2 linked regions of the Cricetulus griseus genome follow. Each later gene encodes a partner of the first gene's protein in a complex. Links are inferred from orthologs where the notes say so. Each region holds a gene or a part of one and is shown on either strand. Other genes may lie near its edges.

Evidence for each region. Proteins that work in one complex are often made in the same cells at the same time.
Region 2: Eif3d (region 1) and Eif3l share a complex: the UniProt entries of both Homo sapiens proteins name them as parts of the eukaryotic translation initiation factor 3 (eIF-3) complex. The link is inferred for Cricetulus griseus from reciprocal best matches to the Homo sapiens genes EIF3D and EIF3L.

Annotation. Positions count from the first base shown.
Region 1 is NC_048595.1:375,067,226-375,072,363, reverse strand, and holds the start of Eif3d (eukaryotic translation initiation factor 3 subunit D), read left to right. Parts: upstream 1-2,069; 5' UTR 2,070-2,224; intron 2,225-2,340; exon of another isoform or gene 2,341-2,599; intron 2,600-3,608; 5' UTR 3,609-3,618; coding exon 3,619-3,741; intron 3,742-3,974; coding exon 3,975-4,020; intron 4,021-4,869; coding exon 4,870-5,006; intron 5,007-5,138. UniProt on the Homo sapiens protein: mRNA cap-binding component of the eukaryotic translation initiation factor 3 (eIF-3) complex, a complex required for several steps in the initiation of protein synthesis of a specialized repertoire of mRNAs.
Region 2 is NC_048595.1:376,190,299-376,194,702, forward strand, and holds part of Eif3l (eukaryotic translation initiation factor 3 subunit L), read left to right. Parts: intron 1-1,142; coding exon 1,143-1,222; intron 1,223-2,522; coding exon 2,523-2,584; intron 2,585-4,404. UniProt on the Homo sapiens protein: Component of the eukaryotic translation initiation factor 3 (eIF-3) complex, which is required for several steps in the initiation of protein synthesis.

The DNA.
Region 1 (5,138 bases):
CTCTGAGGCCAGCCTGGTCTACAAAGTGAGTTCCAGGGCTACACAGAGAAACACTGTTTTGAAAAGAAAAAAAAAAAAAAAAACAAGCAAAAAAGAATGTACTTTGTTTTGAGAACAGGTCTTATATAGTCCAAACTGGCCTTGAACTTCAGGCTGAAAGTGACTTTTTGTTTTGTTTCTGGAGTTCTTGATCATCTGATCCTCCTGTCTCTGCTTCCCCAGGTGCTGAGATTACAGGTACATGCCTACATACCTGGTTAACACAGTGCTGGGGATTGAACCCAGGGCCTTGTGCATGCTAAGCAAGCTCTCTACCAACTGAACCACACCCCCAGGGAAGAATGTGAGGTGCTTAGGGCAATCTTTTTTGTTGTTTTATCTCTAAAAGCAGGTCCTAAAGGTCTTAGGTTCACAAAACACTTCTTGGGCACACTCTACGACAATGCCACTGCACAAGAGTGACACAAAACAGCAGACTCAGAGTCTGGAGCACTGTGAGAGAAGTCACATGCTGAGCTGAGAATGAGGAAGGAACTTCCACATCCTCCTCCATCTGGACAGAGCAGAACATCTGGGCCTGAACAGGGGAAAGATGATTAAACTCTGACACAGTAGAATCTGCAGCAGATGGCCTCTGGGATCCACAGCAAAAAGGGAAAGAAAAAAAAAAAAAAAAAAAAAAAACACAAAAACAGGAGCGATATGATGGAAGTTCAGCAAAGATACATGTCTCCTTATATTTTATGACACATCTCAATTTTATATTGATTTGGGGTCTTGCTATGGAGCCTAGGCTAGCTTCAGGTTTGCAACAATCCTTGTGCCTCAGGTTCTCAGGTGCGGGGAGTTCAAGGTTAGCCTGGGCAATTTAGTGAGACCCTATTTCAAAAATTTTTTAAACATTTTGGTGTAAGATGGCTCAGTTTTCAAAGACAGTGCCTTTTTCTCAGAACCTTCTCCAACTTCACCAGCTCCTGTCTGGCATTATGATCCATCCTCCTGCCTCAATTTCAGACTAGAGGGATCCCAGGATGCACTGCCATTTCTGGCTAGGAGCCAACTCTTAAAGGCATATGGTGTGGTAGGCCCAACCTTCAGGGCAGAAAGAACAGCAAGTGTAGGACCTGCTGAGAGGGAAATGAGAGCAGGCCACGGTGACCAGAGCAGAGGTTGTACAGAATAATAGGCATCGAAGCGAGAAGGCAGCCAGGGATGTCAGGCCACAGAAAGCTAGTCTACTTTATGTTATGCTTCCCTAGGGAGGTGCTAATTGTGTGGGAAGACGTTTGACCACGCTGAGGAGCAACCCACCAGGAGTATGAATAGATCCAAGCTATGACGGGAGATGGAACTCAAGATGTGTCTGAAATTAAAATAGGCTAGTCATGAAACGAAAGAATATTTATTTATTTATTTATTTATTTATTTATTTATTTTGGTTTTTTGAGGCAGGGTTTCTCTGTGTAGCCCTGACTGTCCTGGAACTCGCTCTGTAGACCAGGCTGGCCTCTGCCTCGTGTGTGCTGCGATTACAGGCGTGCGCCACCACCGCCGGGCCTATTTTGTCTTACTTTCAATGAGCAAACAGAAATCTCCGTTGAAAAATGAGGCTTAAGATCTGTGGAACAAGGGTTTGAGCCCTGGCGGCCATCGCGAAGTTCTAGCAGCCCGGACCACGGTCTCTCGCCACCCCTCACCCTGCAGACAACCGGCACAGGGAACGAGCGAGGACACCTCCAGCGGAGGGCGGTTCAACCCGACCAAAGCCAGACAGGAGCCAGCAAGAGCCGCGGGGCATTGTGGGAGGCAAAGGGGCCGAGGCAGCCGCGAAGCATTGTGGGACACCGCGGGGCCGACTCCTGCTCCCCGCCCCAGCTTCCCTCGCACCGCGCGCCGCCACGTTTCAGTTCTGAATCGCTCGAGGCGTCCGCGGATGCCGCTGACGTAACCAGCCCCACTCCTGTCTCTCACCTCAGAGAATAATGAGGACTAAGCCAGTGGCCGTGACAAACTTCCGGTTGTGTCTTCGCTTTACGGCCCGACGTTTTTCCGCTGACTAAAAAGGAAGTGGTAGCGCCGTTTACGACAGCGCCGGTCGCGGTTTACGGCGCCGGCTCTTGCGCGCGCAACTTTCCTGCTGTCTTGGTTCCTCGGAGAATCGAGAATATCGCAGTCTCTGACCCGTGCCATCTCTCGCCATCCGGGCCTGCGGAGCCCACTGCAGGTGAGCGGCTTGCTTTGCAGAGACCTGTGGACCTCGCGAGCCACCCTGGGCTAGGCCTGGCTTCGGGGGCCTCCCGGAAGAGCCTTCCTTTACGTCCTCTCCTGTCGTCGCCCCAGGGCGGGGCGGGAATCTGCCTTGGGTGGTCCCAGGCGCGACCCTGTTAGTGCAGGACACCCCACACGGTGTGGATCCCTCACCCGATGCTAAGCCCAGAGCCGTGGGGACGAAGTGTCCTCCTCCGGGGGCTTCGAACAGTTTCCGTCTCTGCTCCGAAGTGGGCGACTGAGAGGAGTGTGCTCCACCCTGGTGTGAAACCGAGCCCAGGACTTCGTGGCTCTTGTCTGTAGTGTCCACAGTGATCCGCACCGTATTGTGGTTAGTACAGCTGTCGCATCGTTTTAGTTTTCCCCTATCAGTGACCTTCTGGTTCTCATGTGCGGAAGCCAAAGGACTCCAAACCCCTGCCCATCCGGGGAGATGATGCATGTCAAGTCTTGGACTATCTTGAACTTGTGACAACTAAAATTACAGTTGCTTTTGAGGTGGTATTGTGAGTATGTCTTAAAGGCCCAGGTCGTCAGGCTGTCCCTAACTGCAATGTAGCCAAAGAAGGCCAGGCTTAGGCAGACAGCCTTGGAAACTGCCTTTGAGATGATGGGCAGATGGACTGCTTAAGTTATGAGAGCCAACTTTCTCAGAGATGATGGTTTGAGGAAGCAGTGGTGCCTATCTATCCAGCACAGTTCCAATACTTTGCTGGGGGCTCTTATTTCATGTGAGCTGTTCAAAGGCCACACGCTCCCCCATGTTCTCTTCCTACATACAGCTTAGCATAAGTTCTTATTTGGGGATGCAGGTCCCAAGTTTATTCCTTGTTGCTGTCACCTAAATATCTTAAGCTTTCCTATGGTGGAGCAAGGAGGAGAGATTACTAAACTCTCTGGACATTGTCAGAAGGTAAGACTTAGTCTAGGCTTAGAGACGTTGGGTATTGGGTGCCCAGGTGAGAGTGTTTTTGAGGGAACTCATCTCACTTTTATCATACTTCATGAATCTGAGGTAGCTCTGTCTTATGTTATTCTAAGAAAGAAAAGACAAGATGTGACAGCCATCAAGCATAAGGCATGGCCTCATTTCAAAGATAGTCACCAAAAAAGAGCAAGTCCTAGAATTAATGAGACACAAGAAAATGTGGCTGGTGTCGACAATGTTCTGAGTTTTAAGTGTTCTTAGAGTGGTTTACAAGAAAGCTGTCCCTGCTGCTCCAGAGCCCAGGGCTCTGCGCTTTGTGTGTGCCTCTGTGGTGCAGCTTCAGTGGATCACGGAGTGTTTGGGACTTAGTGGCCTTTCCTTATAAAGCTGTTCACAATGCTTGTGTTTTAAGGTTTTAGACAATGGCGAAGTTCATGACTCCTGTGATCCAGGACAACCCTTCCGGCTGGGGCCCCTGTGCAGTTCCTGAACAGTTTCGGGATATGCCCTACCAGCCTTTCAGCAAAGGAGATCGGCTGGGGAAGGTATTGGGTCCCTTCAGCTGGGGTAGCTACTCCACAGCTCCTCACATCCTTTTTGCTCTCTTGGTGGCTATGCTTCCTTTGGGGACACCAGCCAAAGGCCAGAGCGGGTAGCTGATGCAGAAGCATCAGAGGTGAAGCTGATGACGTGTTCACTCAGCCTCCCTTGCTATCTTGAGTTTCTGAGTCAGCAGAGGCCTGCTCACCTGACCTCTTGTCTTCATCACACCTAACAGGTTGCAGACTGGACGGGGGCCACGTACCAAGACAAGAGGTACACAAGTAAGTATTCTTCAGTGAACTATCCACATTTAGGCCTTGGGAAGATTGTTGCTTTGTTCAGTGAGCTCCACACTGAAAAGGAATGCTGATGATAGTTATTGGGGTATATTTTAAATGTGTGCCCTAATATTGGTTTTGGAAATAGTCCCAGAAGTTAAATTGTTAATTATTATAGGGGTGACAGCCAGACTCCTAGACATGTTGAGTGTGCTGCCGTTTGCATTTATTGCTTGGGACTTCCTGAGGCCATCAGTCAGTGGGCTGCCCCGGTTTTAAGGTTCTGGTAAAGGAACGTGCTTTTTTTTGCACATTAAGAGATTGGGGTGGGGAGAGATGCAGAAGAGGAAGAGAGAGAGTAAAGGGAGAATTACGGGTCAACCATTGGAAACAGAGCGCAGAAAGTGCTTTTCTTGGTGCCAGTTAGATGGTTGGAAGTAACTTCGGGAATACTAAGTTAAGGTGGATGAGGTCAGAAAGAAAGTTTATCATGGTCGATGATAGTGTCCATGGCTCCTGTGATGGCAATGGTGGTACACTCCAGATTCTTAATTGTCCAAGGCAGAGGTGAAGTGGGTTAACTTGAGATGCTTGGGCTCTCTTGGTAAGTTCTTTAGACTCAAGCTCTTAAAACTTAAATGTGTGTATGAATCACCTGGGATCATGTTTAAATACAGGTTCCCATCTGTCAGGTCTGGACAGGGGCAGTAAGTCTGCACACCTCACAAGCTCTTGGCTGTGGTCCCCAAAAGTGCTGCAGGTCCCAAAACCACGCTTGAGAGAGCAAGGCTCAAGACTGCCATGTGTAGCCTTTAGGGAGCACTTAGCACACACTGTCACCTTTGCCTGCAGACAAGTACTCCTCTCAGTTTGGTGGGGGAAGTCAGTATGCATATTTCCATGAGGAGGATGAGACGAGCTTCCAGCTAGTGGACACGGCGCGCACACAGAAGACTGCCTACCAGCGGAACCGGATGAGATTCGCACAGGTAGGCCACGGGCTGGCAGCCTAAAGTGCCTTGGAGGAGCTCTTACTGTGAGAATTTCTGCTGCTTAGCAACTGTCTTGGAAACACCAATGAGACAGGAAATTGCAGGCCTCTGTCCAATCCCAAGTGGCCA
Region 2 (4,404 bases), about 1.1 Mb from region 1:
ATTATTAACATTGCTACTTCGTAACTTCCATTTTGCTACTGTTAAAAAAAAATTATGTCAGTTTTTTTGGAGATAGCTGTTTGCAAAAAGCATTGAGAACCACTGGACTAGAGGCATGTTAATTAGCTGAACTTTGTATCCCAGAAACAAACAAGGTTCAAATCTAAAATAATGTCATTGCTGTTAGTATTTAGGCATTTGTACTGGCCTACCTTTGGAGTTCTGACAGGATACCCCCTCAACTACTGCTCCTAAGAGCACCACCTGTGCCTGTTCACTATGCTCTCTTTTAAAAGGGTCCTGCCCACCTCACATCCTTCTTTCTTTCGCTCCCTCTATCTGATCCTTTCTCTCTCTCACTCTCTTCCTGCATCTCTTTCCTCTCTCCTCTGCTTCTGTCCCCAGAGGTCAGTCTCCCCCTCCCCTTTCCCCCCTTTACCATCCTTTTTTCCTAATAAAAAAAAACCCTCTGCATGAACTCTGTATAGCATGTCATCTTTCTCTCAAACCACTTTTTAAAAATTACTGCAATAACTACTAATGATAATAGTAGCTATTAGCATATATTATCAGTGTAGGCCAAGCAGTGTTGGAGTATTTTTGTGTGTTTGCTACTTGCCTGTATTGGTAATCCCATGGTGCAAATTCTATGGTTTTTCTCTTTTCACAATAGAGGAAACATCATAGAAATGAATCATAGCTAGCATTGTACATATGCTGTGTTCGGAACCGCACACTCTGATCCCGGATCCTAATGTCTGAACTGTTCAGCCTCACAGTGCAGACCAAGCTCCAGAGTAGTGATGAGGAGATGCCCTGATAATAATGAATGCCAGATGTAAGATGAGTCAGCTAGGGACAAGACAGAAAATACTTCAAGCAAGTTCTGGGAGGATGGGGTGTGTGCGCCAATGACCAGACACCTGTTGGATCAGTGAGCGGGAGTTGAACTCTATTCCCACATTGCTAAAGGTCCATAGAGGAGATCTGGGTTGAGGAAAGTCTTAGGCTTGGGGAGGGAGTGGGGCTCAGGCTCTGTTTCTGTGGTATCTCCCACGTCTCTGAGTCCTATACATAGAATTTGAGGGTTGGGTCCTGAGTCTTGCTTTTTTAGTTGTGAATTGTTTTTGCTTGGCTTTCAGCTGGACCAAACTAACTGAAAGATTCTTCAAGAATACACCATGGCCTGAGGCAGAAGCCATTGCACCCCAAGTTGGCAATGGTAGGTATAAATGCTGCGTGTCACAGGTGCTGGATAGCAGATATTAACAGAAAGATCACAGAACTTATATGTGTTTCTTTTTCTGTTTTTGTTTGTTTGTTTATTTTTGGTTTGTTTTGTGTTTTTCCAGCCATGGTTTTTCTGTGTAGCCCTGGCTGTCCTGGAACTCACTCTGTAGACCAGGCTGGCCTCTAATTCACAGAGATCTGCCTGCCTCTGACTCCCGAGTGTTGGGATCAAAGGTGCGCACCACCATGGTTGGTTTGTGTGTTTACTTAACATTTTAGTTCTCCAGAGCTTAAGATGTAGGTTTGTAGTAAAATTACATGGTAAGAGAAAGCTGTACAATTTGAGCTTTCCCAGATAAGGAGTTTTCTTTTCCCTCTTTGGGGGTGGGGTGGGGTGAGGTGGCTATTGAGTCACTTTGGTTTGGGCTTATTAGCCCCTCACCTCTCACTTTCCTTTTCTGTGTGATGGGGATCCTTTTAAGGCCACTGATAACATGGTGAGACCCTGCCTCAGAGAGGAAGAGAAGGGACAGGTGATTAGGACATTAACAGTAGAATGGAACACAATTTTCTCTGGGTGTATACATTCTTCTTTCTGTTGAGGCAGGAACTCACTGTGTATAGCCCAGGCTGTCCTGGAATTCACTGTGTAGAACAGACTGACCTCAAACTCACGGACATCTCCTTGCCTCAGCCTCTTGAGTGCTGGGACTAAAGGCGCACACTACCACTCTGGTGGGTGCATAGGTTCTTGGGGCAAAAGCTTAAGAGTTTAAAACAGCATATCTCAACCTATGGATGGAGATTCCTTAAGGAGGGGTTAAACAACCATATCACAGGATTCATCTGTAAAACCATCAGGAAACACAGATATTTATGTTGCTGTTCATAACAGCAAAATTATAGTTATGAAATAGTGAAATAGTTTTGTGGTGGGGGTCACCACCACATGAGACACTATATAAAAGGGTTGCAGCATTAGGAAGGTTGAGAGCCACTGGTTTAGAAGTTTAACTTCGATGGGCGGTGGTGGCGCACGCCTTTAATCCCAGCACTCGGGAGGCATAGGAAGGCAGATCTCTGTGAGTTCGAGGCCAGCCTGGTCTACAGTGTGAGTTCCAGGACAACCTCCAAAGCCACAGAGAAACCCTGTCTCGAAAAACAAAAAACAAAACGAAAAAAAAAAAATTTACCTTCTAGATTACCTCTATCCTTCCACTGGAAGGCTGTGGCTGCAGGATACACCAGTTGGTTTGTAGTTTAACGAAGTACCCTTTTGCTATGTCTTTTAGATGCTGTATTCTTAATTTTGTACAAAGAATTATACTACAGGCATATATACGCCAAAGTCAGTGTAAGTATTTTACATTAATGTTGGTGTTACTAATACTTTTGTAAACTGTGTCAGTTTCATCTAGAATAGTCTCTAGTTGTATTTGTTCCATGTCTAAAGCTGCTTGGTATGGTTTTGTCTTTTTTTTCTTTTTATATTTTATGTGTGTGTTTTGCTTACATGTATATCTGTGTGCCATGTGTGTGCCTGGTGCCGACAGGGATCAGAAGGCATCAGATCCCTTTGAACTGGAGTTACAAACTGTTGTGATCCACCATGTGGATGCTGGGAATCTAACCCTCATCCTCTGCAAGAACAAGTGTACTTAAACACTAAGCATTTCTCCAGCCATGCCTACGCCACTCCTACCCTGTTGGTTGGTTGGTTGGTTTCAACTACCTCACTCCCTACCCCCCACCCCCACCCCCAATTTTCAAGACAGGGTTTCTTAGTGTAGGTCTGGCTGTCCTGGAACTTGCTTTGTAGACCAGGCAGGACTTGAACTCACAGAGATCCGACTCCCTCTCCCTCCCGAGTGATGGGATTAACATACACACACACACACACACACACACACACACACACACACACACACACACACACACACACACACACACACACACACACACACACCCGTTTTAACTATTTTAAAGAAATGCAAAAGAATAGTTTGACCAGCAAAGCTGGTGCCTGTTGTGGACTCTTGACACCACTGGAACTTGTCTGCCCTTAATGTCTCTACCATCCCAGTCCTCCTTTATGAGGGCTTAGAGTCCATCATGCTTAGGAAATCCAAGGTTAGATCCATGGCCCTGCTGCATCTAGCTGACGGGTTTGCCGTAGCATTTACTGTGACCGTCGCCTCCCTTCCTGGATTCCTAGCTGTGTTCAGCTCTTCAAAGCACCAGTCACTAGCACAATGTCTTGTTGGCTCACTTGGGTCTCTTTGCTTTTCCCACTAGGATATTAGCACTACTGGGCTTTGGGCTCTGTTTTGCTCACTGCTATCATTCAGTTCCTGGAATGATGACAGATTTGCCACCAATGACATAGTCATTGCTTGAGCGTGGATCAATGAAGGATACTGACACCAGCAGCTCTTTGCAAGCAAGGGTCTCCACCTGTGGCTTGACTCTCAGTGACTCCTCCTCAGTCCTTAGGACCACTTGATCTGCCTGGAGCTCCCGTCCTGGCTGTAGGTGCTACCAGCAATGGCAGCTGGAGGAGTTTCTGGGGCTGTCTTACTGCATTCCAGTGGGATCTCTGCTACCTGAGAGAAAGCAAGGATTCCTTACTGCCATTAATGCTAAAGGTCAGCCATGTGTGGCTAGACTGAAGATAGCCATGGTGTGTGTGTGGCTACTTAGGGAAGACAGGATATAACTGGACTTCATTTCTTCTGTCTGGTCTGTAGACTAGAAACTTAGCAGTTCATTACCACCTGGAATCTTTGGTAGGTTCTAAACTGGCACTGAGTGTGACCAGTTTTAAACTCCTGGAGATTTTTCTTTGAATGATTAGATGATTTTTATTATTTATTTATTATTTGTTTATTTGTTTTTGAGGTAGGGTTTAACTATGTAGCACTTGGAACTCAGTATGTGGCCCATGCTGGCCCAGCTCTGGATGAACATGTTTTTGGTATAAAATAACTTACACACACATCCCGCTTTTCTTTTTCTTGAGCAAAGCTTTTACTTTGTAGCCCAGGCTGGCCTTGAATTCATTATCTTGCCTCATCCTCCCATCTGGGGGATGGTAATCATCACCACCACATTGCACTCTACACGATCTTGTTTAAGTCTGAGTAGCCCTGATTAAATACCTTGTCAGAACCACAC